4 linked regions of the Arabidopsis thaliana genome follow. The main gene of each other region encodes a partner of the protein of the gene in region 4 in a complex. Each region holds a gene or a part of one and is shown on either strand. Other genes may lie near its edges. The genes, in order: BGLU21, GLL22, AT1G54010 and JR1.

Region 1 (8,623 bases), on a different chromosome or scaffold from region 4:
TTTCTGTTCAATGCTTCTTTCCTATGTTTTAGTTTGTGATTGATCATGATTCATGAAGTCTTGGTTAATAATAATAAAAGTGTTTTGTATTCCTTCAGTTTCTAGCTTATTTGACATGATCAAGAATGCTTTAGTATAAATATATTATCCTTATATGAAGGTATCTTTACCTTCAAAACATGAAGAAATATTGTATTATATATATTAAAAAAAGTCTTAAATTTACAAAAGGACTGATGTTTTTAAATATGAAGTAAAAATATCATAGTTTTTAAAATATTGAAAATACGAATTTACCTCTATTTAAAGAAATAGATTATGCAATAACTAGACGTCGTCTTAACAACTAAATCGTGCAAATATTTTAATGACTAATAACTTCAACAACTTAAACCGCTTGGCGATGAAATAAAACAATGGAAATAGTTTAACATTTTTAGAAAATCACCATGATTTGAGATCGGATAAGATGTCACACCGTAGCTACAAGTTTGAGATTAATCTTTCCAAACAATTTAGATAAAATCAAGTTACATAATTTGATATCGGATAAGATAAGACAATGTACATAAAAATGAACACAACATAATATCAGCAAGATGGTTCTAATATAACAGATTGGGATTCTACTACGTCAATTTTAAAAATAATCTCAATGTTATGAGAAACAATCAGCCAGGTATTACAAAGATTTCTTTGGTCAAGGTTTTAAGGCCCTGTTCGTTTCTACATTTGATAGATCCATCCAACTGATCCATTCAACATGTCTATTTGGATGATTTATTTAACTCTTGTTCGTTTCATTTTTAGTCGGTTCATTTGACTGGACCATCCGAATGAGATGTTCGTTTGCTTATCTCTATCTCCATCCAAATGATTTGTAATAATACAAATACCTAAACTACCCATGCTTTCATCTAATTATATTTTTTATTATTACTTGTAAACATGTTAATTTTAATTCTTAATCTAAAATATATTTAAAAGTAAATAAATTTCAAATAATAGTTTTTTACATTTATAAATTTATTTTACGGTTTTGGCGGGAAAACGTGGTTTTACAGTTTTGATGGGAAAACTCGATTTTACGGTTTTGGCGAAAAACAAAATTTTACGGTTTTGGCGGAAAAACGTGATTTTACGTTTTTGACTAGAAAACGTGATTTTACGGTTATGGCGGGAAAAACTCGATTTTACGGTTTTGACGGACAAACGTGATTTTACGGTTTTGGCGGGAAAACACGATTTTGCGGTTTTGGCGGGAAAACGTGATTTTGCGGTTTTGGCGGGAAAATGTGATTTTGCGGTTTTGGCGGGAAAACGTGATTTTGCGGTTTTGTCGGAAAAACAGAATCTTACGGTTTTGGCGGAAAAACAAAATTTTACGGTTTTAACGGAAAAAAAAATAATTTTGCGGTTTTAGTGGAAAATTTAATTTTTTATTTTTTAAAAATAGTTGTAAAATAAGATTTAAGTCTATTTGTTTTTTTATCGAAAAAATACATATAAATAATCAATTGAAATAATTAAGGTATTTTTGTTATTTGTTATTTTTGACTGGATCATCTCCATCCAAATGATCCAATTAAATTCAGCCAAATAAGTTTCAAAATTTAGCTTAAATTTTCAAAGTCATCCAGATGATTTATTTGGATAGATCATCTGAATGAACCGTTTTTGGCACCAAACGAACATCAAAACTCATCTCTATCTAGATGATCCATCTGACTGATGAAACGAACACGGCCTAAGTCCATCCGCGATAAAGAGGGATGAGCTTTAAGTTATATTTTGAGGATTTTTATTTCTGTTCAATAAAAAAAACAACTCAACGTTTATGCATGATGAATATTATACGTTCAAGATTTAGAAAAATAAAAAACAACTCAACGTTTATATATCGTGCAATGAAATCATCCAATTTAAAATATTTAATAATAGTCCTTCTGTATAACAACCACTAGTGTTCTTGTGGAATTTTTATTTTGTTTCAAAAAAAAACATGTTATTTTAAATTTCCAATTTTACTTTTCAAATAAACTTCCACGTTTATTCTTTAATTTATTCATATTTTTGTTTTAAATTTAACACTCACTCTGATTCATTATATAGGATATTTCAGAGATTTATTTAGGATGTTTTACTAATATCAATGCAATTTTTAAATATATTTTATTTGATTATTTGACTATTGGTTTGTATTTTGTATTTTTAATATCAAGAGAACAAATTTTATAATTAAAAATAAATTTCTTAAAGTGTGTGTTTTAATCTAAAACATCATATAATTTGAAATAGAGGAAATATCATCTAATAAAGTAATGGTATATTTGTATAGTTAATGATTTGTCTTTTTATTCGCGCAAAATGTGTCAATTATAAAATATAAAGAGGATATAATTTAGTTTAGAGTTTTAGACACGAGGACTATATATTGGAAAACAAAAAAGTAATGTAAACCATATAGATCATGGAATGAGTCATCCTATTAAACAGTTGTATTATATATTTATATTTTAGTCACTAACACATTAATAACTTAACGTCCATAACAAAATAAGATCCAAAACTCGATCTAGATCTATACGAGGCACTAAATGATCCATTGACTTAGGGCCGGCCGATTGGTTCGAGGACTCCTCATGCTGTAAACTTTTTTTTTGGACATACATGATATATTTTTAAGTCACGTTTTTATATTATATGTTCCACGCCCAATATAATATGTTCCAAACTAGGAAAAATAAGTAAGAATTAGTCAATGATCGAGATAATGCAATGAATCATCCTATTTATTAAATAGATTTACTAAACTATATATAATACAATGATCGAGATCGTGCCATGAAGCATCCTATATACTATAAAAATAGTCTTACTAAATACATACTCATATAGTTTAGTCATTCATTAGTCCAAACATTAAATGAGAGATCCTTTACTTGCTACCTGAATTTTTTCAGAATAAGGTATAACTTTTTTTCGAATTAGAAACTGATTTATGAAAGATTAAGAGTAATGTTCGTTAAACAAGTTAAAAAATATGTTTTTACAATTAAGTTTTGAAAAATAATAAAGTCTCCAATTATTTGAGTATCAAAAATAGGCTTGTTATTATTTAGGGTTTTCGTTGGTTTAAATGCAACGGGGTGTGGTTGTCATTGTGGAAGTTAATGGAAGTAATTGGTTGAGGTTTTAAACGTTATCGGACATTTTAAATGACTGGTTTACAGTTAAAAATATGTGTATTTACGGCAATTTTATGATTGGCTTAGCAGTAGATGCGACAGTGGTTTAAACCAAAAATTACCAAATAAATAATATACAATTATTAAATTATATAAAACACCAATATTATATATTTATATATATATGAACATAGTTAATTATCGAAACCATAGACAAAGTACATAAGAGTTATTCCGAAAAAGGTTTATTATGAAACACAAATAATCATATTGGGAGATTATGATATCCAAAATGGACTAATCAAATAATTAAATCCAAAATGGATGAAGAACTTATATTAGTTCCACGCACAATATAATATGTTCCAAACTAAGTAAGAACACAACGGTCGAGGTCATGCAATGAATCATCCTATATATAAAATAGTTTTACTAAACAATTATATTTTAGTCACTCGTTAACAAACAATCAAAATCGCTATATAAAGAACTCCGATTGGATGTAAACAAATCATCATAAACTTGTTCTCTTCCAGAAGAAACTAAAAACAAAAATGGCATTGCAAAAGTTTCCTCTCATGGGGCTGCTTTTGCTCCTAACCATCCTCGTCTCTGTGACAACAGCGGTTGATGATCCTGTTTGCCCGGCGACTTCCAAGCTAAGCCGAGCAAGTTTCCCTAATGGGTTTTTGTTTGGCACGGCTACTGCTGCGTTTCAGGTACAACAGATTTACTAAATCATAGTTCAAAAAACAAAAAGTAGTGTCGTTATTGTGTTTCTATCTGAATTCAAATCCATATTTTTAAAATATGGTTTTTTTTTATGTAAAAGTTGCTCAAAATATGTTATACCTATCATTTGAAATCATTTGTGCATGTGATATTCCTCAACTCATCAACTATTTTTTGTTATGTCATTAGGTCGAAGGTGCAATTAATGAAACTTGTCGTGGACCGGCTCTATGGGATATCTACTGTAGAAGAAATCCAGGTGAGTGTACTCGTATAATCTACATTCTCAATACAGTATGTTTAAATATTAAATTAAATTTAACTAATTAATATCAATACATAGCCATTAATTTTCTTAATTACTTTCAAATTACAGAGAGATGTAGTGGCGACCACGCCGATGTGGCCGTTGATTTCTTCCATCGTTATAAGGTATATATTAATATAAATTTAAGACAAACATAACTTATATTCTCGAGATGTTATTGAAATTTTGCCTTGTCTTAAAAATGTTTGTAGGAAGATATTCAGCTAATGAAGAATCTAAACACAGATGCATTCAGACTCTCAATCGCATGGTCAAGAATATTTCCTCGTGAGTATATGTCTGCAGATCTCTAGTTTGATTTTGTTTTAATCGAATTTGGTGAAATTAGATTTATGTGATTGTTATATAATACTAATAACCAATGAATTTAGATGATGTATATGTGAATGTTGAAGTATCAATAACTAATGAAACAAACTGTAATGCTTTATTAGATGGGAGAAAGGAGAAGGGAGTGAGTCAAGCTGGTGTGCAATTCTACCACGAGCTCATCGATGAACTCCTTAAAAATGGTTATATACATATAAAATACCTAGTTCACAAAAATACAAGTAATATAGTATCCTTATTTAACATTTCTTTCTATTTTACGTCATAAATAGGTATAGTTCCGTTTGTGACTGTTTTCCATTGGGACACTCCACAAGATTTGGAAGACGAATATGGCGGTTTCTTAAGCCAAAACATTGTGTATGTTTTTGTAAATTAAACAAAATACATTTAGTTAAGTTTATATGGAAATTATTAATTTGGTATCTTTTTTTTTTGCAAAAATACAGGAAAGATTTTCGAGAATATGCAGATTATGTTTTCACTGAATACGGTGGAAAAGTGAAAAACTGGATCACTTTCAACGAGCCATGGGTCTTTGCTCACGCAGGTTACGACTTAGGAAAGAAAGCACCAGGACGTTGTTCTCGCTACGTTCCAGGTTGCGAAGACCGAGAGGGACAATCTGGTAAAGAGGCTTATCTAGTCAGTCACAATCTCCTCAACGCTCACGCAGAAGCTGTTGAAGTTTTCCGCCAAAAGGTAGTTTACATTAGATATAAATCATAATTAATTATCAGGTCACATTAGATATAAATCACAATTAATTATCAGGTTTCGAATCTTAAAATAGGTTGTTTTGTGTTGTGTTTATGGACATAGGTTAAAGGTGGGAAAATCGGAATCGCACATAGTCCGGCTTGGTTCGAACCACATGATCTTAAAGATTCAAATGACGCTCCAACTGTTAGCCGTGTACTTGACTTTATGTTGGGATGGTAAGTATATATTATGTTAGAAAATGGTTTCTCGTATATAATTTCATAAAAATTAATGTAGTTATTAATTTTGTGTAGGCATCTGGAGCCAACTACTTCGGGAGATTATCCACAAATCATGAAAGACCTTCTTGGTTACAGATTGCCTCAATTTACTGCTGCACAAAAAGCAAAATTGAAAGATTCGACCGATTTCGTAGGGCTTAACTACTATACTTCGACATTTTCAAATTATAATGAGAAGCCAGATCCGTCTAAACCAAGTTGGAAGCAAGATTCTCTTGTTTCCTGGGAACGTAAGTTTTTTTTTGTTTTCCGTACATGAAACCAAACCAAGAAACTAAAGATAAAAGGTTTTATAATACTAATTGATATGCATACATTTTCACTTTTTATTTTTCAGCTAAGAATGTAGATCACAGCGCCATTGGTAGCATGGTAAGCGTTTGATTAAACTAGTCCTAGTTTGTGATTGTTAATTTTTGTCTACGACATAACATTTTCACCATTGCTTTATTTCAGCCTCTTACTGCTGCATTGCCCGTCTACGCTAAAGGATTTAGAAAGCTTTTAAAGTACATCAAGGACAAATACGCAAACCCGGAGATTATGATAATGGAAAATGGTAACTCGAGATTTATTGTTATATTTGTGTGTTGATTTAATCTTAACTCTTAAGAGTAATATACTGATCATTATAATGTTGTTTTTTCTAGGATATGGAGATAAACTTGGGACCACAGATTCGGTTGACGTTGGTACTGCTGATCATAACAGGAAATATTATCTTCAGAGGCATCTTCTGGCTATGAACGAGGCTATTTGGTAAGCCTTTTATTATTTGATAGATTGACTAACGATTCTATTGAATGGTCTAATTAAGAACATAATTGTGTTTGTGCAGCATCGATAAGGTGAGAGTTACGGGATACTTTGTATGGTCATTGTTGGATAACTTCGAATGGCAAGATGGTTACAAAAACAGATTCGGACTCTATTACGTCGATTTCAAAAATAACCTCACACGTTATGAGAAAGAATCAGCCAAGTATTACAAAGATTTCCTCGCTCAAGGTGTTCGTCCATCCGCACTCAAGAGGGATGAGCTTTAAGTTATATTTTGAGGATTTCGTTTTCTATTCGATGTTTTTCCTATGTTTTAGTTTGTGATTGACCACGCACGATTCATGAGTCGTGGTTAATAATAATAAAAGTGTTTCGTTTTCCTTCAATCTCTAGCTTATTCGACAAGATCAAGAAGGCTTTAGTTTTAATGACGTTATCCTTTTTGAGAATCAATATGTGAAGTTAAATATGTTTTACCTTCCAAACTTGAAGAAAAATTGAATCATACAACCTTAACATTAAAAAATTTATGAGTTACAAAATGATGTAAGAAAATATCATTAGTTTTAGAAAATTAAAAATACGAATTTACCTCTATACATAGAAATAGATTAGGAAATAATTTGACGTCGTCTTAACAACTAAGTACAAACATTTCAAAAACTAACAACTTAAACGTTGGCGATGAAATAAACAATGGCAATTCATTTTCCCAAACAGTTCTAATATTTTATTTTTGAAAGTCACTAGTTTAGATTAAAAAACAGGACGACCAGCAAGAGAAGATATCTCTTTTTCACTCATTTGGCCAAGCGTATTTTCTATATACCTTAAGGAAATAAAATCCATGCATGATGCAACCAAATAAATCCACCATGCAATACCAACATCATTCATTACTTTGGAAATTCATATTTCATTCTTAGCAAGCAAAAAAAAACAAAAAAAAACAATCAAACGTATGTGTTAATAATGAAATCATCACATTCTATCTTACTAGTAGTCACTTATCAAAAACGATTTATGTAAATAGTGATTTTCAAGATTTTTTTTTTAAAAGCAAAAAATTTAAAGGCCAACTCACTTTCAGACTGTTTCTTTTGTAAAATTGAGAATTCTTGGAGCATCTCCTATCAGTACTGTAGCTGATTCATTACTTATTTTCGTGCTTTTGATATGTGAGTGAGTGAACTAGAGTCGTAGATTGATAGCTTTGAAGCTGAGTTGGAAGGATTGTCTGTCAAAAAAGGAAAGACAAGACCTACCAAATTGGTAAGATTTGAAATATATGCATATACTGTAATTTATGCTCTGTAGTGAGTCATGTCTTTTGGTTTGTTTTTCTCTTTAACACTCATCTTTAGACATCTATTACAAGGCACAAGGATCACATAATAAAATTGGAACTGATCTTGAGCCACAAAGGATCATATACACTTTCTTTTAAAGAACCCTACTTGGAGAACCTACCATGGAAAGATAACAAAATTAATAAATCTTTCCAAAAAAAAATAAAACAAAAAAATAGTGAGAGTCTATAGAAGGTTCTCACCACTGGACATAATCTTAAACTGCATATGCAAATATAGGTTTGATCAAGATTTGTTTTTCAGGAGTACCAAAAAGGTTCCGTAGGAATGATAGATTGATAGATTCTTACATATACACAATAAAAAAAAAAAAAAAAAATTGTAGTATCAACATATCAATTAGAAAAACAACTGGGGCATTTTTGATATCTTCGAAAAGTATAATCCTTATCTTATAAACTATTTTTAACTAAACGCGGAAACGCATAGCTGGCAATCTTCCCTTACGGTTTTTTGGTAATTGTCTACTTTTGATAAGAGACGCAAAACGCCCCCCCTAAATCGAGAAAAGTTACATAATTACCCTGCTGACCTAGTCCTATATAAAAAAAGATACCTTCTCCTCTCCATTAACCAGTAATCTCAATCACAAACTATTTCCCCCCCTTCGTTCATCAAATCCTCAAGAGAAAAAAAAAATCCCCAAAAGCTTCCTCAAAACCCTAACACAGATCTCTCGATCTTCTCCGATCTGTCTTTTCTCCTAATCTGGTAACGTTTCGATTCTCGATTCATCTGGTTTCGCGTATAATGTTTCCGATTGATTTCACTTTTTCGATTACGAATCTAGATCTAGGGCTTTGATCTATGTTTCTGAGATGCGATTACGAGTTTCCGTCTAAAATTTTGCAGTGATTCGTGTTTTCTCGATATCGCTTATGAGAATTGTTT
Region 2 (7,805 bases), on a different chromosome or scaffold from region 4:
TCAGATTAGACAAGTTTCGGGCCACATGCACTCCATTAGAACAAAATGATAAATTTTGGTGGAATCAATTTAAGAAGGTAGTGGATTCAATTTGAGACCTTTTTTACCCTCTTTTTTTGTTTGCAATTATTCTTGCAAGGTAATATTCGAAATGATTGGCAACAAAGAAAATAAAAAGTAGAAATTATAAAGTTCCAGAAAAGATAAGTTTATACATCTGGCTTTGGGGCCGGCTATATTTACAGTTAATTTTCATATGAAATAAAACCAAAAATCATATATATAGATAATAGATGAACCAAACAAATGAGGCGTTCTTCATATAAAACTTCATCTTCACGTAAGCAAATGTGTTTTATTTTTATCTAGTTTCTGCACTCTTTTAGAAACAAAATTGTTCACCTTTCTGTCGTTCTAATGATTCCAATCAAATTGATAATTACTAGAACTTACAAACGAATAAGGACCAACTCTTCTGTATTTGATATAGACACTCTCTCAAAACTTAATCTTCTCTAATCTTCACTGTAAATCTTAAGGAACAACTCTCCACAAGTTTTTATAATTTATATATACATAACTAAGCTATTACCTATACTATTAAGATTGTGTCAACGCAAAATTGAGTTATTCTTTCTTATTTAAATTTGAACTATTAAAAATATGTAAATAATTAACGAAAATCTTTGTCAAAACACTATTAAGAAAATAATTTCAAAAATTAACATGATGATAAAATATAGATTGTTAATTGTTTTTTTTAATTGTTTTCAAGTAATTTAATCAATAATATGATGAGGATGATTAAGGAAATTACTATAATTTATCTTTTAAAGAATATCTTAGCATAGGTATGAGTTGTTTTTGCAAAATTTTAATAATTGATTTAAGTTATCTAAACGTTATTAAAATTATTATCCAAATTATCTATAATTATCCGAACATATTCGTCTCTTGTCTATTCTGGTAGTGATATTTTATGTATCTATATTATTCATATATCGTATCAGTATAATCTGACTTATTTAAAAATATCTATTTGATATGTATTTTGATATTAAAAATATTTTAATTCGAGTTGTGTACTCGTAAATTATCCAAAAGTTTTAGCAGAAATAAACATATCTACGTATATGTTGGTGTTGAAATTTTTTTGTTGAATTTGGCTAGTCAGCAAAATTTAGTTTTATGCAAATGGTTACTGCAGAAATTACTGAATCTGGTTTAGTGTTACCATTTACACCCTATATTTCCGTGAAATTTGTATGTTTAATTCTACTTCTTGCCTCTAAATGCACGATCTTTTCAGCACTTCGAAGAGGTTAAAGTGACTTTTACCCGATGAGAAGGGAATTGTGTGGCAGATAGAATTGCTAGGGAATCTCTTTCTTTTCTGAATTATGATCCCAAATTGTATTCTATATTGCCGGATTGGGTTAAAGCTTATGTGTATTCAGACTCTTGTGTAATTGTAAGTTGTTGTTGAACCAAAAAAAAAAAAGCACGATCTTTCTTGGTACTCGTAGTAACAATAGATATTTTGTTGAGAATTAAAAATAAAGTAGAAGAGAAACCAGTAATGCGTCAGACGTGATTAAGCGAACTATATAATATAATTGATCGATAATCGTTTGCTAGTGCGTTAAATAGGTGTATAGTAAAATGAACCTCGCGCTACACGTTATTATTTGTATAGTAAAATGAACTATTATTTTCATTGCCAAATTGTAGTACTTGCAATATAAATATAACGAATCGGTCTACGAGCTAAGGCACAAAAGCAATCTTCTTCTCTTTTCACAGTTCTGTTTCTCCCTCTCTCTAAATGATGGCAAACAACTGTAATTTAGTCAGTGTTCTATGTGTAATTTTGGTATTGACCCTCTTTCACAACCCCATCACTGTCGCCGGACAGAATAGTCCGGTGGTCGCCTTGTTCACCTTTGGTGACTCCAACTTCGACGCCGGAAACAAACAGACTCTCACCAAAACCTTAGTCGCTCAAGGTTTCTGGCCGTACGGAAAATCTCGAGATGATCCCAACGGCAAATTCTCCGACGGCCTCATCACTCCGGACTTCCTCGGTACGACTTCTTTTCTAATCGAATCCTACTCTAATCTTTAAAACATTAAGTATGTTAAAAATAGTATGATTACGTAAAAATAATCATAAACAGTAGTATTTATAAATGCATTTTAAGTATGCTACTAGTGAATTACTTAAAAAATAGTAAATAGTATGATTAAAAAAAAGATTATAAATGCATTGGTTCAGCGGCTATTCACTTTTCGGGACACATTCTATGAAATTTTATTTATTATTTTCGTCAACAGATTCGGAGATGTAGTACAAGGAATGATTTGATATTATATGAAAAACTAAAATATTTTTAAAATACAAAATGCAGCTAAATTCATGAAGATTCCGCTCGCGATCGCGCCGGCGCTTCAACCGAACGTCAATGTCTCACGTGGAGCTAGTTTCGCCGTCGAAGGTGCTACTCTACTCGGAGCTCCGGTGGAATCTGTAAGTAAACTTAATTTCTTATTATATAAGAGTCATGTATATATCTATAGTCAACACCTAATTCAAAGAAAATCAATTATATCTGTCTATTATTGACCCGGTCATACTAAGCGGGATTCTTTTTGTTTTACTTCACAGAAAAGCATGTGACTTAATATCAATAAGCTTTACTTTAATTGCACTTATAATATTGGTTTAATTTTTGTCTTTTTCTCTTTTTTGGTTCTTTAGATGACTCTGAATCAACAAGTGAAAAAATTCAATCAAATGAAAGCAGCAAATTGGAACGATGATTTCGTGGCAAAGTCAGTATTTATGATATACATTGGTGCAAACGATTACTTAAATTTCACCAAGAACAACCCTACCGCTGATGCATCTGCTCAACAAGCTTTTGTTACTTCCGTGACCAACAAGTTAAAGAACGATATTAGCGCGTTGTATTCATCAGGAGCGAGTAAATTCGTGATCCAAACCTTAGCTCCATTGGGTTGCTTACCCATCGTCAGACAAGAATACAACACCGGGATGGATCAATGCTATGAGAAACTCAACGATTTGGCTAAACAACACAACGAAAAAATTGGACCGATGTTGAACGAAATGGCTAGAAACTCTCCTGCATCAGCTCCTTTCCAATTCACCGTCTTTGATTTCTACAATGCCGTTCTTACTAGGACGCAGAGGAACCAAAACTTCCGTGAGTTGGTTAATTATCATGGTTTAATTTCATTTGTTTTAGTTTTATAACTTCTAATACCAAGTCATTAATATTTGTCATTCTTAGGGTTTTTCGTCACGAACGCATCGTGCTGCGGAGTTGGATCTCACGATGCTTATGGTTGCGGTTTACCTAACGTGCATTCGAAGCTATGTGAGTACCAACGGTCTTTCCTATTCTTCGACGGACGTCACAACTCCGAGAAGGCGCAAGAAATGTTTGCCCATCTTCTTTTTGGAGCCGATACAAATGTTGTCCAACCGATGAACGTCCGTGAGCTTACTGTTTACCCAGTCGATGAACCCATGCGTGAATTTTGGGTGCCTCCAACGCCAGCTACTGTCCACGCCAGCGACTCTAGCTCGTCCACTAGCCGCGGTTACGAGTATTACTGAGTCTTTTTAAAACTCAATCTTTAGGGTCAATCAGGTTTTCTACAATGGTCATGAGTTAATTTATAACCGAATCAAAATCGGAATCTTGATGTTTTTGATTTGCAATGTTTTCCTGTTTCTCTAGTGAGTTTTTCTCTATAATAAAAGATTGATCTTATCAACTCTTTCCACGTCCTGGAATTTATCGAGAGTTCATTAGTCTATCGATTTACTCTAATCTATTCGATATCTTATATTCCTTCTGTTCATTTTTGTTTGATTTTTTAGAAAAAACATAAATATTAAGAAAATATATTAAATGTTGCTTTTAAATGTATTGTTTTTTGTGATTTACAATTTTCAATAACTCTAAACCAATGATATTTACTAATTTGTATTGAAGTTTACAATTTATCAATTATAACTAATAACTATTGTATTAAAAATCTAAAAAATCAATATTTTTGAAATAATTTTTTTTCTAAACAATTAAACAAAAAGAAACAGAGTAAGTATAAATTATGTAAAAATATATGACTGATTCGTTTTATGACACCGAATTAAAATAATAAGCTAATTCCTTTTGGTTTCTTTTGACCCAACAATAAGCTAATTATAATTATAAAACGAATATGATAAAGTATCTTTTACCAGCTGGGAAAATATAATACTCCCAAACTGAAAATAAATATCATTACCAGTTGGGATTATTTTATTACAGTAAATACATATAGTGGGCATTAGTGATCTGATTTTGTGGATCATAAGCGACAGGAAAATAAAAATATAATAAGACCAAACAAATCTCATCCGCTAAATCTGGTCATAAGTTTAAGTATTTTTTTTCTATTTAAATAAGAAAAAAATGACGCTAAATCTGGACATAAGTTAAAACATACAAATTGAAATAGTATAATTTAAAAATCTCAATAATTGAAGCAACACACCGATCTTGACTTTATCTCTCCTTTATCTACGTTCAATGTTGATAATTAATTCCATAAAATAGTAGTAAAACGATTTGGATCCATCACATGATAAATATAGTAGATCCGTCTAATATGGTAACATTTTATTTGTCGTATATAATTGAAAAACTCAACTGTTTATATTACTATTCAACACGTTGGTGACTGCCGAAGTTTCTGGTTCACACTACAGTCTCACACATCAACACATATGAGGTCATGTACTTTCCAAATTGCAGTTTATACAATATGTAGAGAAAAAAATATGAGAAGACATGAGGAACAACTTTCAACAGCGACTAACCTCATCAAGGATATCGATCGAACAGTCCGATCTAAAGACTCACGGTAAAGGCAAGTTTGATGATGCTTTGTGTAACTGGTTTGCCACAAGACGTCTCTAATATTTCAAAATACAAACTGTTTTCCTAATTAAAATTTAAGCTCAACATTTAAATTTAAACAAATTATTGCATAATGTAAACAAAGTTGTTTTTGGTGAATCAAATTTACATTCGTACAAAAAAATTAACAATCGTCGTAGGGTTATTAATGGTTTTTCTCGCGCTGGCGGCTAATCTTCCCGTGCAAGAAAGGTCAACGCAAATAAGCCCTAATAATAAGGTTTCTGCTACGACATGCTTGTTTCTTGTGTCTATCTAATTGTCTTTGTACCTTAGTATTTCATCAAGTTTATTTACTTTCACCATAGAATTGTTCTCCTTTCCACACAAAAAAACTAATCGATTTTATTATTATCCTAACTCAAAAAATTACATGACTAACATTATTAGACAATATATAGTGACCTCGTCAGTTATTTTCATATACATACATATAGGCGATTTTTATGTAAGCCTAAGTTCAAATAAAGCTTTGAGATTATAAGGTCTAGTGACATTAGGCGGCCCGTTCCAAATCAGCTCTGCGATTTGTCGATGAGCCTTTTCCGTCAAATGAGAGGAATCATAGAACAAATAATCGGTAACGTTTTCGCATAGGCCGTAACCTTGCGACGGTCCTATTCTGTTTCCACACGTATTGATTCCTCTCAGTGGTCCGCTTCCACAACATGCCTTCTTCCCTTCCTTGAACCCTAAAAATTAACAAACATAACACAAAATGTTCTTAAAGGTAACCTATAGATCGATCTCTTACATATATGTAAATACCAAGTTTAGTAACCATATTTTGAAGGACTGTTGATTCTTTCGGAAAGAGAAGTGTGATAGTCATGAAGGGCGTATCTAAAACCCGATAATTGGCGTTGTAGCCGCCTTAAAACATCGGGAAACTTCTTGTTGTGCATGTCGATAAGCTCAGCGACAGGTTTGAAACAAGATCCTATCTTTGTTCGGTCTCTTATCAATGAATTTGGTGAACATTCGTACGGTCCCACGTTCAAAAATCCAAACTTTCTTCCTCCCATTTTATACACTTCCTAAGATCACATAACATATATATATAACTCAGTTTTAGAAAAAAGGTAAATATTTGAAATTATTTTCCGATTTTTGTTTACCTCGATAACGAATGTAATGTTACCGATAACAAAATCGACGAATTTCTCTTTGGAGTTGGATTTGAAAGTTGAGGAGTTTGCAGAGAAAGGATAAAAATAGTCGTTGGCCCCGATATGAAACAGATAAACAGCTCTTGAGAAAACCCTTTTGGTTTCTGCATCTCCTAGTTCAGATCTCAAGCTCTTTTCAACATCTTTGAAGTTGTTTAACTGTGTTCCCAAATTTATCACCTTACATGATAAAAAAGAAGAAGTGGAACATATCAATTAATCAAATAACACTATATATCATCGGTTAAAGTAATAAAAATTACACAATTGTTTTAATTTCTACGCCCTTTATTTCAATTTAAATATCTTTCTAAATTTTTTTCTCTTTCAAATAAATACCATTAACTAATATTTCAATATCTATTAAAGTCAAAATGAAAATTCATTAACATCAATTATGAAATAAACCAAAATTCCAAGAGTTAATAGTTTTTGTAAGTACATAAAAACAGAAACATTTAAGGTTGCGCATGAAGAATATCAAAACAACATTTCTAGTGAAATGGAACAGTAGTAAAAAACTGATGATATTTACCATTCCAAGAAAGGATTCGGCTAAAGCTCCGGCGCCAGCAGAAGCAAAACTTACTCCATAGGTAAATTGATTGTTACCGTTGTTTGGTTGTAGATTTGGCGGGATCGACGGCAACCATGCCTTTTCGGCTTCCAGGTCAGCAATTAGTGAATAAAAAAATGTTAAACATTCCTAGGAAATAAAAATAACAAAGCAGAGTAGTTTTGTTATGTTAACGATGAAGTCGGGAATCAAACGTCCATCGGATAATCTTCCGGTGGGAAACTTGAAATTGGTTTGACCGTACGGCCAGATATTAGACCGGAAACTTGAGACAGTATTGATGTAGTTGTTGTTTCCGGCATCAAAAAGAGAATCTCCGAACACGAACAAAGCAGCTTGATTTGTTACCAGATTATTATTGTCTATGCAGTTGATTGAGCCGATCGACAAGATTATTGTGTAGACGAAGAAGATGATCAAAACTAATCGAACCATGTTTAATCGTTAACGTTTATGTTCTGTCCACAAGCTAGCACTTGTTGAATATATATATTTATAATTTTTTTTATAACAGTTTTGTTCTAACAGTTTTTTTTTTCTTGGTTATAGAGTATAGACATTCTTAATTATGCATGGTCAAGTTTGTTGTTCTAAAGCAAAATTTTCCGATGCACGGCTTTAATCAAAATCGATATGATGTCTTGTTGATTAAAGTATGTAGGTGACAAAGACAACATACATGTTTTAATCATAGATTTTCGAATTTGTTTTTATTTATGTATATAGAAATATATAAGAACCTACTCCATCTAATCTAGAAAATAAAACGAGTTATCATACAAAAATAATAATCCGAAAATTAATACCAAATTGTTGTGGAAATGTGAGGATACGATCGAATGATTATGCGAACGAAATATTGTAGTCATATAGATTATTATAGTGTAAGTGTGATCGGTCTAATACAGCGACAATACCATATGACAAGTTAAACTAGTAAAGTTTATTGTAGCAATCAAAGTATTTTTTTTTATTTTTTTAACAATTTAATGAGGATAAAAACACAAAAGGTGTAATGGAAATTTCCAAAGATTTATCGATTTGTGTTTATATATTTCAAATCAC
Region 3 (7,563 bases), on a different chromosome or scaffold from region 4:
TTGGATACAAGATTGTAACTTCATTCATGGATCAGCAGCTCCATGTGTTCACCTCGATAACGAAAACGATATTTTGAATTAGTCAAATTATTGATTGGCGATAACGTATTGCTTCTACGAATGTTATGGAATTAATTAATTAATTTCATGTACGTATCATATTTTCTTTTTTGAAATTTTGACTAACATTTTAACACTTTTTTTGGCCAGTAGTGAGCTGTTTTATGTTTTCTGATATAGTTTTTCTTTACAGCTTATTAAAAAATTTAGTCATGTGATATAGTAAAAATTTGCGTAATTATCTTAATTTGTGTGAAACATGTCATTATTAAGATAGTTTATCAAAAACATGTCATTATTACACTTTTTATAAAACATAATGAATATCTTACAAATCTACTATTTAAACTAAACTTATTCATAGATTTGGTCCATATCATTTTATACTTACTATAATTTTTATTAAGTTTACTTGATTTTAAGTTTATTGAAAAAGTGTGGGCACAACAACACACATGCATGTGTTGGTGGTGGTTGAGAAATAAAATAAAAATGTGAATTACAATAGCATTTTCCCCTATAACTAACAGGTTGTTCTACATGACTAAATATCTTCTAACCAGTGGCATTTTCATAGGCAATTATAAATAGTATATTAATTAGTGTAATATCTAAAAGAAAAAATGTATATAAGACAATAAAAATACATGTATTTAAAGCTAAATGGAGAAAAAAGAAGCAAAAGTGTTATGCTAGAGATTTGATCCCGGAGTTGAGGGTGTCAAGTGACCCCCCTTTTTCCTAAATAGGTCCGCCCCTGTTTCTAACTAACATATTTCTTCAAAAATGCAAAAACAAATTGAGATTTATCTTGTCGCAACTTTTTTTTTTTAATCATTATCATGTCGCAGTTTGATGGACCCGTGATTTTGAGTTTCTTCATTTTTTTCTATATCATTAATATTATATATATATATATATGCATATATATTTGAGTTTGAGTCAGATCAATTTATACTGATTAGTTGTAAAGAATTTGAAACTTTGAAGCATGGATAAAGGGTTTAAATAAGGTTTTAGGGATTTAGGAATTCATGTTTAAGATTCGGTTAGAAAGTATAGGATTCAGTTTTTACTTTTTAAGATTTGTAGTTTAGTTGAATATACATTGGTGCTCTTTTAATTATTTTTAACAAAAAGAAGAAGTTATTTTTAACAAGATAAAGACTATTAAAAAAATCTCTTGAAAATAAATGATGTTTTGGTTCAACAAAACTTGAATACATTAATTATTAAGGGTTAACAAAAAAAATTATTAAGGGTAATTTAAAAACTGTGAGAGAAAAAACATTAATCATTGCTCAAGTCTTTCTTCTTCTTTTTTTGGTCGCTCAATGCTCAAGTGTGTTCTGCTTTCTAGAGCAGCAACTTTTTGACAAAAGGAAAAAGAAAAACATCTTTCTCAACCTTATTAAAAATAGAACAAACGTGTCTAGGTAGAAGAACTGTAGAAACTAACTAGTTAGTTTCAATTGATATAAGACATAGCAAAAACGTGAGAGATTGAATATTCACGGCGTTGTGGTTTTCTTTTGCTAACAATGATTTTACATGACATTTTTGCGAAACGTTTTATTTTCTTAAAAAATTGTGTTACATAATTGTTTTTTTGTTTGTTCTATAATTACGTAACAGCTCTTAACGTTTACAATAAATATATATTTTCTAACGTTTATATTTTTATTAGATATTTTTTCCCCAAACTTTTTTCTTTATTTTAAACTGAGTTCGTTTAATCTTTAATTATAGAACATTCTTTTTTTTTTGTCATCAATTATAGAACATGTTAAAAGCTCTTTTATTTCCAAATATTTTACAATATAAATATATTAGAGGACCGAGGAACTTATTGTACCTCATCATTCTTCCTTCTGGTTAACTGAAAATGGAGTGTAGTTCAGTGAGTGTACTAGGAATATTACTGGTATTTCCTCTCCTTCATAACCTTGTCACCATCTCCGGGCAGAATCTTCCGGCGGTGGGTTTGTTCACTTTCGGAGATTCCAACTTCGACGCTGGAAATAAAAAGTTCCTCACAAGTGCTCCACTTCCTCAAAACTTTTGGCCTTACGGTAAATCTCGAGATGACCCTAAGGGCAAGTTTTCTGATGGCAAAATTGTCCCGGACTTTATTGGTAAGTTTGTAAATTTATCTCTATTTTACACTTTTAATTTTTTCAAAAGGAATCAGATTGTTTTATTATATCTTTCTAATCCCAAGTAAACATATAGAGGACAACATATGGTTTGTGGATTGATGCTTATTTGTTATCCTTCATGTTAAAATTCTGTCCCAATACAGTTGTTAAATATTTTACTTAAATCAATAAATGATTTTATAATGAGTTCGATTAAAAATAAGCAATTGCAACGGGTACTTCAATATTGCAAACTCTTTTATAATGTGTGAAAAGTTGGTAAAAACGTAACGGGCTAGTAATTGTTTTTTCAAAGGTCTCAATCTGAATCAGCCTGATTTCTTTAATATTTTAACAACGTATACAAGATGAACACGCTCTTTATAGGTATAATGCTATAATGCATATCATTTAACCATTAAGAAAACTAGCTACTCGTTTTTATAGGTACTCTATACTAAATGGAAATTTTGATTGGTAATTAAAGATATATGAAATTGATGAGGGGTGAATAAATCACAGCAAAATTCATGGGGATACCACACGATTTACCGCCGGCGCTAAAACCCGGCACCGATGTGTCACGAGGAGCCAGCTTCGCCGTCGGGTCCGCTTCCATTCTTGGATCTCCAAAAGATTCTGTAAGCTCACTTAAAATATTTGTTAATCAATCGTAAAGCAATGTCATAATAAAGATTCACATTTTTTTGGTAGTTGGCTCTGAATCAACAAGTGAGGAAATTCAATCAGATGATATCAAATTGGAAAGTGGATTACATTCAGAAATCAGTGTTTATGATTAGCATTGGTATGGAAGATTACTACAACTTTACCAAAAACAATCCTAATGCTGAAGTTTCTGCTCAACAAGCTTTCGTTACTTCTGTCACTAACCGGTTTAAGAGTGATATCAACGTAAGTATTTTCATCCAAAACTAATCAAAAATTAATACGAGTTAGTGATATAGATATGTTGTTATAATGATTAATTGCAGTTGTTGTATTCATCTGGAGCTAGTAAATTCGTCGTACACTTGCTAGCGCCATTAGGTTGTTTACCGATCGCAAGACAAGAATTTAAAACCGGTAACAATTGTTACGAGAAACTCAATGATTTGGCCAAACAACACAACGCTAAAATTGGACCGATTTTGAACGAAATGGCGGAAACTAAACCGGATTTCCAATTCACCGTTTTCGATTTCTACAACGTTATTCTTCGCAGGACACAAAGAAACATGAACTACCGTGAGTTACAATTCGCCATTCAAAGTTCCACACTATCATTAATATCGTTATATGCTTTTACTTTGAAGCAAACATTTAATAATACTTGTTGTTATGACTAATTAGGGTTTTCCGTGACGAATATATCGTGTTGCGGTGTTGGGACGCATTATGCATATGGTTGTGGTTTACCTAACGTGCACTCGAAGTTATGCGAATATCAAAGATCCTACCTTTACTTCGACGCACGTCATAACACAGAGAAAGCACAAGAAGCGTTTGCTCATCTTATCTTTGGAGCTGACCCAAATGTTATCCAACCTATGAATGTTCGTGAGCTCATGGTGTATCCTGTTAATGAGCCTATGCGTGAGTTTTGGGAGGATCCAATGGATGAGAAGTTATCGTTAGTCCAATACTAGTGGATCTGTCTACCTCGTTTAGTTCTTGAGCTCACTATTTTCTATCTCTAGATCACGTACGAGCTCTTGGAATTTGTAATGTATTGTTCTTAATTAGTTGCGAAGTAAAATAATTAATACTGTTTAAATCCTCAACTCTGCTTATTTTCATAAGAAAAAAATAATCAATTAATGGGTAATTTGATAGACCTGAGAATATAACCAAAGCATATATATGACCTGCTTTGTGCTCATATTAGACAAGTTTCGGGCCATACGCACTCATTAGAACGAAATGATTGAATTTGGTGGAATCATTTAAGACTTATGGATTTCAAATTACATAACTCACTTGAGTCATTTTATTTACTTTTTTTTTTGTTTTTTTTTGCAATTCTTGTTGTAATGAAATAGTGGAAATGGTTTCAATTTTTAACTGTTCCAAAATTATTTTATAATAAGTGTTGTTTTAGGTTTTAATATAAAATTTTGGTTAAAGTTCCAAATTTTATTTATACTGTTTTAATGTGTTAACTAGAATGAATTAATCATAGTAAAACAATTTTTTTTTAGTTTGTAGTATTTAAAAAAAACGAACACTTGATCTGAAATGCATGGAGTATTTTCTTAGTTACGTTTTCATAGGTGAGAGGTTCCATTTGACATGTTTTTTTATATATTTTATTGAAATATAGGAATATGCATTTAAATCTTCTTCTGCCCTCAATGCATGATCGATCTTCTTGATACTAGTAACAATAAATGTATCTTGAAAATTAAGAATAAATAAAATAGAAATGGGATACCAGTTGTGCATTAACTAGGTGTGTAGAAAAAAGAAAAAAATGAACCTCGAGCAACACGTTATCATATATTCATATTTAAATAACAATATTTTTCAATTGCTAAATTGCTTTTTTCTTAAAAACAATCTTTTTGATAAAAAAAATTCAGTTGCCAAATTGTGTAGTATTTACAATATAAATATAACGTATCGGTCTACGAGCTAAGACACAAAAGCAATCTTCTACTCATTTACTGTTCTGTTTCACTTTCTCTCTCTCTGTATACTCTCTAAATGATGGCAAAAAACTGTAATTTAGTCAGTGTTCTATGTGTATTTTTGGTATTGACCCTCTTTAACAAACCCATCACCGTCGCCGGGCAGAATATTCCGGCGGTGGGCTTGTTCACCTTTGGTGACTCCAACTTCGACGCCGGAAACAAACAGACTCTCACCAAAACCTTACTCCCTCAAACTTTCTGGCCGTATGGAAAATCCCGAGATGATCCCAACGGCAAATTCTCCGACGGCCTCATCGCTCCAGACTTCCTCGGTGCGACATTTTTTTGTTTGTATAACTGAAAGATCTTAATCCGAATTCTACAAAACATAAAACATGCAAAATGATATTTTTTATCATTTAAAACGTTAGTACAAATGACGAGTGTTGGATATTAGTTAATTACTAAAAATAACGGTTAAAATATTTTAAAAATAAAAAAGGTTCAGCTGGTATTCACTTTTCGAAACACATGGATTTTTTTTTGATTTTTTTTCGTTAACAGATTCGGAGATTATATTTGTATTATATGAAAACCTAATATATTTAATGTACAAAATGCAGCTAAATTCATGAGGATTCCGATCGTGATCCCGCCGGCCCTTCAACCGAACGTCAATGTCTCACGTGGAGCTAGTTTCGCCGTCGCTGATGCTACTCTACTCGGAGCTCCGGTGGAATCTGTAAGTCAACTTAATTTCTTACTATAATCATCTTATTCAAAATAAATGAACCATGTCTGTCTTTTATTGACCCGGTCATACATAGCCGGTCCTTAATTTACCTTCAGGTGGCCTTAGCACAATTGGAAGATGGCCTTCTTAATGATATAAAATATATTAAAGGTTTTACCAAATTACTGTTTTTATTTTTTTTGGCGAATGATTTAGTATATATCTTCTGGTCTAAAGCATGTGCTTGACCTGTCTTATGGACTAGCCTGGATCATACTAAACGGCATATTTTTGTTTTATTAAAGACATCTGACTTTAACTGCAATTATAATTTTGTCTTTTTGTCTTTTTTTGTTTTTTTAGTTGACTCTGAATCAACAAGTGAGAAAGTTCAATCAAATGAAAGCAGCAAATTGGAATGATGATTTCGTGAAGAAGTCAGTGTTTATGATATACATTGGTGCAAACGATTACTTGAATTTCACCAAGAACAACCCTAACGCCGATGCATCTACTCAACAAGCTTTTGTCACTTCCGTGACCAACAAGTTAAAGAACGATATCAGCTTGTTGTATTCATCAGGAGCGAGTAAATTTGTGATCCAAACCCTAGCTCCATTGGGTTGCTTACCCATCGTCAGACAAGAGTTCAACACCGGGATGGATCAATGCTATGAGAAACTCAACGATTTGGCTAAACAACACAACGAAAAAATTGGACCGATGTTGAACGAATTGGCTAGAACAGCTCCTGCATCAGCTCCTTTCCAATTCACCGTCTTTGATTTCTACAACGCGATTCTTACTAGGACGCAGAGGAACCAAAACTTCCGTGAGTTGGTTAATTATCATGGTTTAATTTCATTTTTAAATTTTTTTATAACTTCTAATACCATGTGTTTAATATTTGCCATTCTTAGGATTTTTCGTTACGAACGCATCGTGCTGCGGAGTTGGGACACATGATGCTTATGGTTGCGGTTTTCCTAACGTACATTCGAGGCTATGCGAGTACCAACGGTCTTACCTATTCTTCGACGGACGTCACAACACTGAGAAGGCGCAAGAGATGTTTGGTCATCTTCTTTTTGGAGCCGATACAAATGTTATCCAACCGATGAACATCCGTGAGCTTGTCGTTTACCCTGCCGATGAACCTATGCGTGAGTCTTGGGTGCCCCCAACGTCAGCCACCGTTCAACTCAGGGAGAGCCGCGGTTACGAGTATTACTGAGTCTCTAAAATCAATATTTAGGGATCGATCGGGGTTTCTATAAGGGTTATGAGTCAAATTATAACTGGATCAATATCGGAATCTTGAGTAGTTTTAATTTCCAATGTTTTCATGTTTCTCTAGTGAGTTTTCCTCCATAATAAAAGATTGATCTCTGCAACTCTTACCCCTTGCAAATCTTTTATTTAAAAGAAACAAAACTTTTACATAAATTTATTTCTTTTTTTTGTCAACCACATATTAAAAGGTAATTCCATAATTAAAAAAAGAAGGCACAAGAAGCGTTTTCTCATCATCTTATCTTTTGGAGCGGACCCAAATGTTATCCAACCTATGAATGTTCGTGAGCTCATTGTGTATCCTGTTAATGAGCCTATGCGTGAGTTTTGGGAGGATCCAATGGATGAGAATATCATCGTTAGTCCATGACGTCGACGTCGATGCTAGTGAATCTATCTAACTCGTTTAGTTCTTGAGCTCACTATTTTCCATCTCTATACCATGAACGAGCTCTTGGAATTTGAAATGCGCTGTTATTAATTTGTTGAGATTTAAAATAATAATGTAACCTCAACTCTGTTTTTTCCATAAGAAAAATCTCAATGAGTAACGTGATAAACCTGACAATATGAACCAAAGCGTGTCCAATGACCTGCTTTGTGCTCAGATTAGACAAGTTTCGGGCCACATGCACTCCATTAGAACAAAATGATAAATTTTGGTGGAATCAATTTAAGAAGGTAGTGGATTCAATTTGAGACCTTT
Region 4 (7,826 bases):
CCGGAGGAACTGGCACTGGAACTGGCACCGGTACTGGAGGAACTGGCACTGGAACTGGCACCGGAGGAACTGGCACTGGAACCGGCACTGGGACTGGCACTGGAACCGGCACTGGGACTGGCACTGGAACCGGCACCGGAGGAACTGGCACTGGAACCGGCACCGGAGGAACTGGCACTGGAACCGGCACTGGGACCGGCACTGGGACCGGCACCGGAGGAACTGGCACTGGAACCGGAACTGGTACCGGTTCAGGTGCTCAGAAATTGGAAGCACAAGGCAACAGTACAGGAGGTACATCATGGGACGATGGATCCGATTACGATGGCGTGACCAAGATATACGCAAGCTACGGTGGGGAAGGTATTCAATACGTCAAGTTCGACTATGTGAAAGGTGGAGTAACAAAACAAGGAGTTCTACACGGTAAACAACAAAGTAGACAAAATCCAAGAGAGGTAAGCTTACGTACAACTTTCTTTCAAGGTTTCTAACTATATTTTATACAAAGATTATATTACTGACATTGTGAACCCTTTTTAATTTTTTGGGTAGTTTGTGATTAACCATCCGGATGAGTATCTTGTTTCTGTTGAGGGTTGGTATGAAACCGTCATGCTAGGAATCCAGTTCAAAACGAACTTGAACACTTATGAGGTCAGCATCTATCCTTTCGAACCTAGTACTGATACTAAATTTACTCTTCAAGTTCAAGACAAGAAGATCATTGGATTTCACGGTTTCGCGGGCAACCATGTTAATTCCATTGGAGCTTACTTCGTTCCAAAATCCTCCACCACTCCTGTTCCTTCAACCCCTTTGAAGCTGACCGCAGAAGGTGGTGAGACAGGAGCTGTATGGGACGATGGTTCTCACGATGATGTTAAGAAAGTTTATGTAGGACAAGGCCAAGATGGTGTTGCAGCTGTCAAGTTTGAATACAAAAATGGTTCTCAGGTTGTTTTTGGAGATGAACGTGGAACGAGAACATTGCTAGGATTCGAAGAGGTATGCACGCTTAAGACCAACTATTTTTATTGGTTTCCCTTTTCAACTAATTTCACTATTCATTATGCATTTATCTATGTAGTTCGAGCTTGAATCAGACGAATATATAACATCCGTGGAAGGATACTACGAAAAAAACTTTGGAGTTGATACTGTAGTGACAACGCTGATTTTCAAGACTAGCAAGAACAAAACAGCTGGACCGTTTGGGATTGTATCTGGCACAAAGTTTGAATTCAAGAAGGAAGGTTACAAGATCACTGGGTTCCACGGACGAGCTGGTGAGTATGTTAATGCTATTGGAGCTTATTTAGCTCCATCAGGCACCACCCCTTTGACTCCTGCAACACAATCCCAAAAGCTAGAAGGAGCTGGTAGTGAGGCAGGAACTTTATGGGATGATGGTGCTTTCGACGGTGTAAGGAAAGTGTCTGTAGGACAAGCCCAAGATGGTATTGGAGCGGTCTCGTTTGTGTACGACAAAGCAGGTCAGGTTGTAGAAGGAAAAGAACATGGAAAACCCACATTGCTTGGATTTGAAGAGGTATACTTTATTAGTTCTTGCTTTCTCTTTCGTCGTTTAACCGTATAGTTTATTATCCTCAATTTTGTTCTTTTTTGTGCTTCTTGAATTGCAGTTTGAGCTTGACTATCCAAGTGAATACATCACGGCAGTTGATGGCACCTACGATGCAATCTTTGGGAATGAACCAATCGTAAATATGCTTAGGTTCACGACTAATAAGCGAGTATCTATTCCTTTTGGAATAGGAGCTGGCACAGCCTTCGAATTCAAGAAGGACGGTCAAAAGATAGTTGGTTTCCATGGAAGAGCTGGTGATCTACTTCACAAATTTGGAGTCCATGTCGCGCCAATAACCAAATAATTATGGAGATTTTAAGTATCTTTTGATGATAGTTTACACACTTTGAATAAGCTGATTCTACTTTATTTCTCTCTGTTTGTTTACTGCTTCAGTGTTTTAAGTCTTCTCTTTGTGTTTGTTGCTGTTGTGTCTTTGATGGATTTTTGTGATCCGATTTAATAAAAGAAGTGTGTTCAAAGTAATTCTCTAGTCTCTTTATTTGAAATTCCGGGGATAGCAGATTGGTTTCCGCAACATTGACTCCAAGTTTATAATGATCTTGATGATGGTCTAAAAGTTTTGAATAAGCTGACTCTAATTTACTAGGTTCTGTTTGTTTATATACCTTCAGAGAGTTTCAAGTCTTCTCGTTGTGGTCTTGTTCTGTTTTCTTGATGTGATTTCTTATTCATTTTAACAAAAGAAGTTTGTGCAAAGTCACAATGCAGAAACCCACTTTATTTAGATTTTAGATAAGCAAAGCACACAGATGCATTATCCTTAAGAAAAACAAAATACAACACTAGACCACAACTTCATAAACTCACAACATAACCTTATTCAAATTTCAGGGATATCCAGATTGGTTTCACATCATTTGGCTATGGGCGCAACATTGACTCCAAGTTTGTAAAGATATTCACCAGCTTGTCCATAGAAACCAACGATTTTGTGGTCTTTCTTCTCCAGTACGAATTCAGTTCCTCCCTCGAGTCCATACGGGATAGATGTTCTCTTGTTTGTTTTAAACTTAAGCGAGACGATTGCCGGGGCATCTACACTAAAAATCTTGTCATAGTAGCCCGACACGGCAGTGACATACTCATCTGGTCCAAGCACAAACTGCACGTTTTGCAACAAAATTAAAGACTTTAGGTTTCTAGATCAATAACTATAGAAAACAAGATTTGAAAATGAAATCAAGATTACAACCTCCTCTGCTCCAAGCAATGTCTTCTTCCCATGATCACTTCCAAGGACAGGCTTTGAAGCCTTTTCATAGTCAGCTTTGAAATAGGTCACACAAGAGTCACCTTGTCCAACATATATCTTCTTGACACTGTCGTGAACACCATCATCCCAAGCAACTCCACCATCTCCACCTTGTGCTGGAATAGTATTGGAAGAAGGAGTCAATGGTGTGGACGAAGGAATAATATAAGCTCCTAGAGAATGGATCAGATCACTTGAAGTTCCATGGAATCCAACGATTTTGCCGCCTCCTAGCTCAGCTTCTTCTCCAGAGGTTAGTCCAAACGGCTGAGAAGTTTTTCCTTTGAATGTCTTGAATATAAGAGCTGTGACGATCTCTATCGGTGACCCGAAAAGTTTCTCGTAGTAAACTTTCACATAGGTGATGTAGTCTTCAGGATCAATCTCAAACTGCAAAAACAAAAACACATCAATACTAGAAAGAAAGAAAAAAAAAACTTTTGGGCAATTTCAAGAAATACAAAGATTTGTGTACCTCCTCTGTTCCAAGTAGTGTTTGCTTCCCATGTTCAAGTGATACAATCTTACCATCTTTCTCGTAATCAAACTTGACATAAACAACACCAGAGTCACCTTGTCCAACATAAACTTTCTTTACATTGTCATAAGCACCACCGTCGTCCCAAACATCTCCACCACGACCACCTTGAGCTTCCAATTTGGTCAGACCACCTGATACCGGCGGAGTCAGCGGTGTAGTCGACGGAATTATATAAACTCCAACAGAATGGATCAAATCACTTGAACTTCCATGAAATCCAACGATTTTGCCACCTCCTAGCTCAGCTTCTTCTCCAGAGGTTAGTCCAAAAGGCTGAGAAGTTTTCCCCTTGAATGTCTTAAAGATTAGAGCCGTTACGATCTCTATCGGTGATCCAAAGAGCTTCTCGTAGTAAATTTTCACTGATGTTATGTAATCTTCTGGATCAACCACAAACTAGCAAAAAAAAAAAAAGACAACCAAAAATGATCAGTTAATGTTGATGACAAGAGAACTCTCATTGAAAACAAAATATTTACCTCCTCTGTTCCAAGTAGTGTCTGCTTCCCATGTTCGTGTGATACGATTTTTCCATCTTTCTCGTAATCAAACTTGACGTAAACAACACCAGAATCACCTTGACCAACATACACTTTCTTGACGTTTTCGTAAGCACCACCATCGTCCCATTCTTCTCCTCCACGACCACCTTGAGCTTCCAACTTTTTCGCCATCTTTTCTTCTTAACCTAAAGTTATAGTACCCATTTCTTAGAAACTGTAAACGCACAAGAGCCATGAACAGACACTACTCAAGCACTTTCATGATGATGAAACTAATCTAATCTGAGGACTATAATACTTCCACTAGGACATTACTTTAAACAATGGTATCATATTCTCATAGATTCATTATCATATAAAGAAATTCAATAATTCAAATAAAACTAGTAAAAATCAATATAACGATTTTGTGAAAGAAAGAAAAAAGGAGTACATTAAAGGGAAGGAAGAAACACCTTTGAGTGTGAGAAATGGAGATGAAGATGGAATATGAATGAGTTAATCTTGGGATTTTGTATATATACTATATAGTATATATAAAACATTTTTGAATACGAACATTAAATTCTCTTTTCATCCAATACTAACCACTTTTTTTTTCTGCCAATACTAACCACTTTTTCTTTTCTTTTTGAGAGACTTTATATTCAACCAACTCGTGCTTCACGAGGGATGGAAGCTTTGATTAGTTAGGACTTAGGAACTTGTATTAATCTAAATATCTTTTTTTTTTTAAAATTGAATCTACCTTACAACATAAAATTTGTAAAGAGAATTCCAAAATTCCAAAAAAAATCACCTAAAATTTTAAAATCGTGAAAGCAGCATCGTAAAGATGTTCTCTTCTGTTTTTTTTTTTTTTTTTTAACTCTCTTTTGAATATTGGATTAGAGATTTTCACAGTGTCGTAGATTCTTCGTAGAGTCTGTTATGAGTTGACATTTACCATAGGAATTGCATTATCGTGAGAAGGTTAAATGATAAATTGACATTTATAAATTCTCAAAATGTAGGTTATGAGTTGTCAAAGAAATGTAGGCTATGAAAAAAAAAACTTACGTCTAAAAAAATGCAAAGTTAAGAAAGAAATACTCAAAGTTCGTGGCATTTGACCATCTCTCAGCTACACCTCAAATTATAGCTCATGAGAATGGCCCATGAATATGATTGTGGCTCCGTTAATCACGTGGTATTAAAACTCACACACGACCATTTCTCATCTGCCTCCAATTATAGCGAAACCGTTACAACTCGTTGTTCACGTGAGCATCAAAATGTGCATTACTCCTTTCAAGTTCGGCAAATCCTAATTATCCATTTTAATGGACTGCAGAGACTTTAATTAGAGCTTATAGAACTTTAAACATTTTGGTTTAAATCTTAAAATAGAAATTTAACCAATCTCAAATGATTTTTTTTTCTTTTCTTTTGGCATAAGTTTCATAACTCGATGATGAATGCTACGATAATATAGACATACAGTATGATGATTAGATGAAAACAGATAAAGAAGAAAAAGTGTATCGTACGCCCCACTCGGTGATAATGATTAATGAGACTATATATGAGAGTACCCAAATATGATTTTTTCCACTCATGAATCGTATTGCACTATTTCTGCATTATTAAGATAGACCCACATTTAACATTAGACCAAAAAAAAAAAAAGATAGACCCACACCACCTGTTATAGTATTTAGTATTTTTACACATCCACTAAACGACGACAATTGACAAAATCACACAAACCTTTCTCCTTTATTCATTTTTGTTTAATTCGGGTCCCTTGCTTTTTAGCATTCGGCTCTCATTCTTATCTTCCCATGGATGGATAGTCATAGTTATATAATACAGTTCAATTGAAGTTATGCAGTATATATATGCACCACACACGAGTCTTCTATATATGTGGATACTACGTTTCAAAATAATTCTATTAACTTAGAGAAGATAAACTTTCTTAGTACTTTTTTCGTTTCACTTTACACACACCTCAAAAAAATTCTTGTTTCATTTGTGACTGCATGTAAATGTCGTTACCTTACTTGAATTTTTACACAATGGTACGTGAAAAAGAAAAGAAAAAAAATATAATTGAGAGAAAATATAATAGGATCACACCACTACAATACATGGGCTTTAAATTCATCTTTTCTATATGTTATAATTTGGGCCAAGACTATTATATCATATGGGCCTATCAATGTAATTAGAAGCAATTGCCCGATCCAATAACCTTAATTAGGAAAAAAAATCGTTCCCTTCTCTCGTTTCTTTTCAGCTCTGACTCGGCCTCTATCTCTCTCCCGTCGTCAGCCACATTCACCGGTACTCATCTGACCAAGCTAGGGTTTCGCAGTCATCATCATGTACCGTACGGCAGCTTCTCGAGCCAAGGCCCTTAAGGTCAATGTCCTACTTCACTTGTTTCCATTGAGATTCTGGTTTTTTTAGGAGAATGCTTAGTATTGAACAATTTGTATGATTCATTGTTTTTGGATTTGGATTAAAGGGTCTCTTAGATTCTTATAGATCTTGATTCAATTTTATCGCTTTATAGTAGCTGGTGCCATTATTCATGCTTTTTGCAGGTTTATGAAATGTCTCTGTTTCGAAAGTTCTTATTTTTACAATGTTAATTGAATCAAGAGATTAATGATGCTTAGGATGTGTGTGTGTGTGTGTGTGTTTATAGGGCATTCTAAACCACAATTTTCGAGCTTCTCGTTATGCAAGTTCTAGTGCTGTTGCAACGAGCTCTTCTTCCTCCAGCTGGCTAAGTGGAGGCTACTCTAGTTCACTTCCTTCTATGAACATTCCCTTGGCTGGTGTCTCTCTTCCACCACCACTCTCTGACCATGTTGAGCCTAGCAAACTTAAGACCACTACTCTTCCAAATGGTCTGACTATAGCCACTGAGATGTCTCCGGTGAGAGCTTCTTTTAGTAATCCCAACATCAACTTCCTGTTAAAAACTACTGGAAAGTGATTTTGAGTGAAATTTTGTTCAGAATCCAGCAGCTTCCATTGGTTTATACGTTGACTGTGGTTCTATTTATGAGACTCCTCAATTCCGTGGAGCGACGCACTTGCTTGAAAGGATGGCATTCAAGAGTACATTGAACAGAAGCCATTTTCGCCTTGTAAGGGAAATAGAGGCTATTGGAGGTAATACTTCAGCTTCTGCATCCCGAGAGCAGATGGGTTACACAATTGATGCTCTCAAAACCTATGTTCCCGAAATGGTTGAAGTGCTTATTGATAGTGTGAGGAACCCTGCTTTTTTGGATTGGGAAGTGAATGAAGAGGTACTTCATGTCATGTTGCATGTATCTCACAAACATTAAAGCTAAGCAATTTTTTTACACTGTTTTCATCATTTTTCTCCTGGCAGCTCCGAAAGGTGAAAGTAGAGATAGGAGAATTCGCAACGAATCCAATGGGTTTTCTTTTGGAGGCAGTTCATTCTGCTGGTTACTCTGGCGCATTGGCAAATCCATTGTATGCACCTGAATCTGCAATTACTGGATTGACTGGGGAGGTCTTGGAGAATTTTGTTTTTGTAAGACCGTTAACACAAGAGATTATTGCATTCGCTGGAACTAGTATCACTGGCTTTTGGTTTGTTATTTCGTAGATGTGTCTTTTTTCTCATTTTGTTCTGAAATTTCAGGAGAATTACACTGCTTCACGAATGGTCCTAGCAGCTAGTGGAGTTGATCATGAAGAACTTCTAAAAGTGGTTGAGCCATTACTATCTGACCTCCCTAATGTACCCCGACCTGCGGAGCCAAAGTCTCAATATGTCGGTGGAGATTTCCGTCAACATACGGGTGGAGAGGTACAAATATGACGTTTCAATGGGCTTCTTTGAGTAAAAGAAGGTTTATTATTCCTAATATCTTTCTTTTTTTG

The links.
Region 1: JR1 (region 4) and BGLU21 share a complex: the UniProt entries of both Arabidopsis thaliana proteins name them as parts of the PYK10 complex.
Region 2: JR1 (region 4) and GLL22 share a complex: the UniProt entries of both Arabidopsis thaliana proteins name them as parts of the PYK10 complex.
Region 3: JR1 (region 4) and AT1G54010 share a complex: the UniProt entries of both Arabidopsis thaliana proteins name them as parts of the PYK10 complex.

What each region holds. Positions count from the first base shown.
Region 1 is NC_003070.9:24,698,115-24,706,737, reverse strand, and holds BGLU21 (Glycosyl hydrolase superfamily protein), read left to right. Parts: upstream 1-3,571; 5' UTR 3,572-3,742; coding exon 3,743-3,907; intron 3,908-4,109; coding exon 4,110-4,179; intron 4,180-4,296; coding exon 4,297-4,352; intron 4,353-4,439; coding exon 4,440-4,515; intron 4,516-4,682; coding exon 4,683-4,760; intron 4,761-4,850; coding exon 4,851-4,938; intron 4,939-5,027; coding exon 5,028-5,280; intron 5,281-5,400; coding exon 5,401-5,516; intron 5,517-5,594; coding exon 5,595-5,812; intron 5,813-5,919; coding exon 5,920-5,954; intron 5,955-6,038; coding exon 6,039-6,141; intron 6,142-6,232; coding exon 6,233-6,341; intron 6,342-6,420; coding exon 6,421-6,628; 3' UTR 6,629-6,870; downstream 6,871-8,623. UniProt on the Arabidopsis thaliana protein: Beta-D-glucosidase active on scopolin >> esculin >> 4-MU-glucoside > DIMBOA-glucoside. No activity with pNP-glucoside, oNP-glucoside and sinigrin as substrates.
Region 2 is NC_003070.9:20,150,386-20,158,190, reverse strand, and holds GLL22 (GDSL-like Lipase/Acylhydrolase superfamily protein), read left to right. Parts: upstream 1-1,670; 5' UTR 1,671-1,825; coding exon 1,826-2,084; intron 2,085-2,408; coding exon 2,409-2,527; intron 2,528-2,758; coding exon 2,759-3,227; intron 3,228-3,314; coding exon 3,315-3,643; 3' UTR 3,644-4,037; downstream 4,038-7,805. Other genes in the region: GLIP3 (GDSL-motif lipase 3), read right to left, coding at 5,439-5,686, 5,776-6,031, 6,113-6,343, 6,699-6,826, 6,935-7,175.
Region 3 is NC_003070.9:20,158,089-20,165,651, reverse strand, and holds AT1G54010 (GDSL-like Lipase/Acylhydrolase superfamily protein), read left to right. Parts: upstream 1-4,787; 5' UTR 4,788-4,904; coding exon 4,905-5,163; intron 5,164-5,454; coding exon 5,455-5,573; intron 5,574-5,927; coding exon 5,928-6,396; intron 6,397-6,484; coding exon 6,485-6,798; 3' UTR 6,799-7,063; downstream 7,064-7,563. Other genes in the region: AT1G54020 (GDSL-like Lipase/Acylhydrolase superfamily protein), read left to right, coding at 1,946-2,195, 2,721-2,839, 2,913-3,113, 3,194-3,446, 3,552-3,847. UniProt on the Arabidopsis thaliana protein: Involved in the control of the PYK10 complex size and possibly substrate specificity. May be exported from the endoplasmic reticulum upon interaction with MVP1.
Region 4 is NC_003074.8:5,593,628-5,601,453, forward strand, and holds JR1 (Mannose-binding lectin superfamily protein), read right to left. Parts: upstream 4,418-7,826; 5' UTR 4,367-4,417; exon of another isoform or gene 4,345-4,366; intron 4,097-4,344; 5' UTR 4,083-4,096; coding exon 3,888-4,082; intron 3,805-3,887; coding exon 3,343-3,804; intron 3,258-3,342; coding exon 2,808-3,257; intron 2,718-2,807; coding exon 2,469-2,717; 3' UTR 2,054-2,468; downstream 1-2,053. Other genes in the region: JAL34 (Mannose-binding lectin superfamily protein), read left to right, coding at 1-458, 556-1,008, 1,091-1,552, 1,647-1,895; MPPalpha (mitochondrial processing peptidase alpha subunit), read left to right, coding at 6,279-6,317, 6,607-6,840, 6,923-7,219, 7,306-7,473, 7,585-7,752.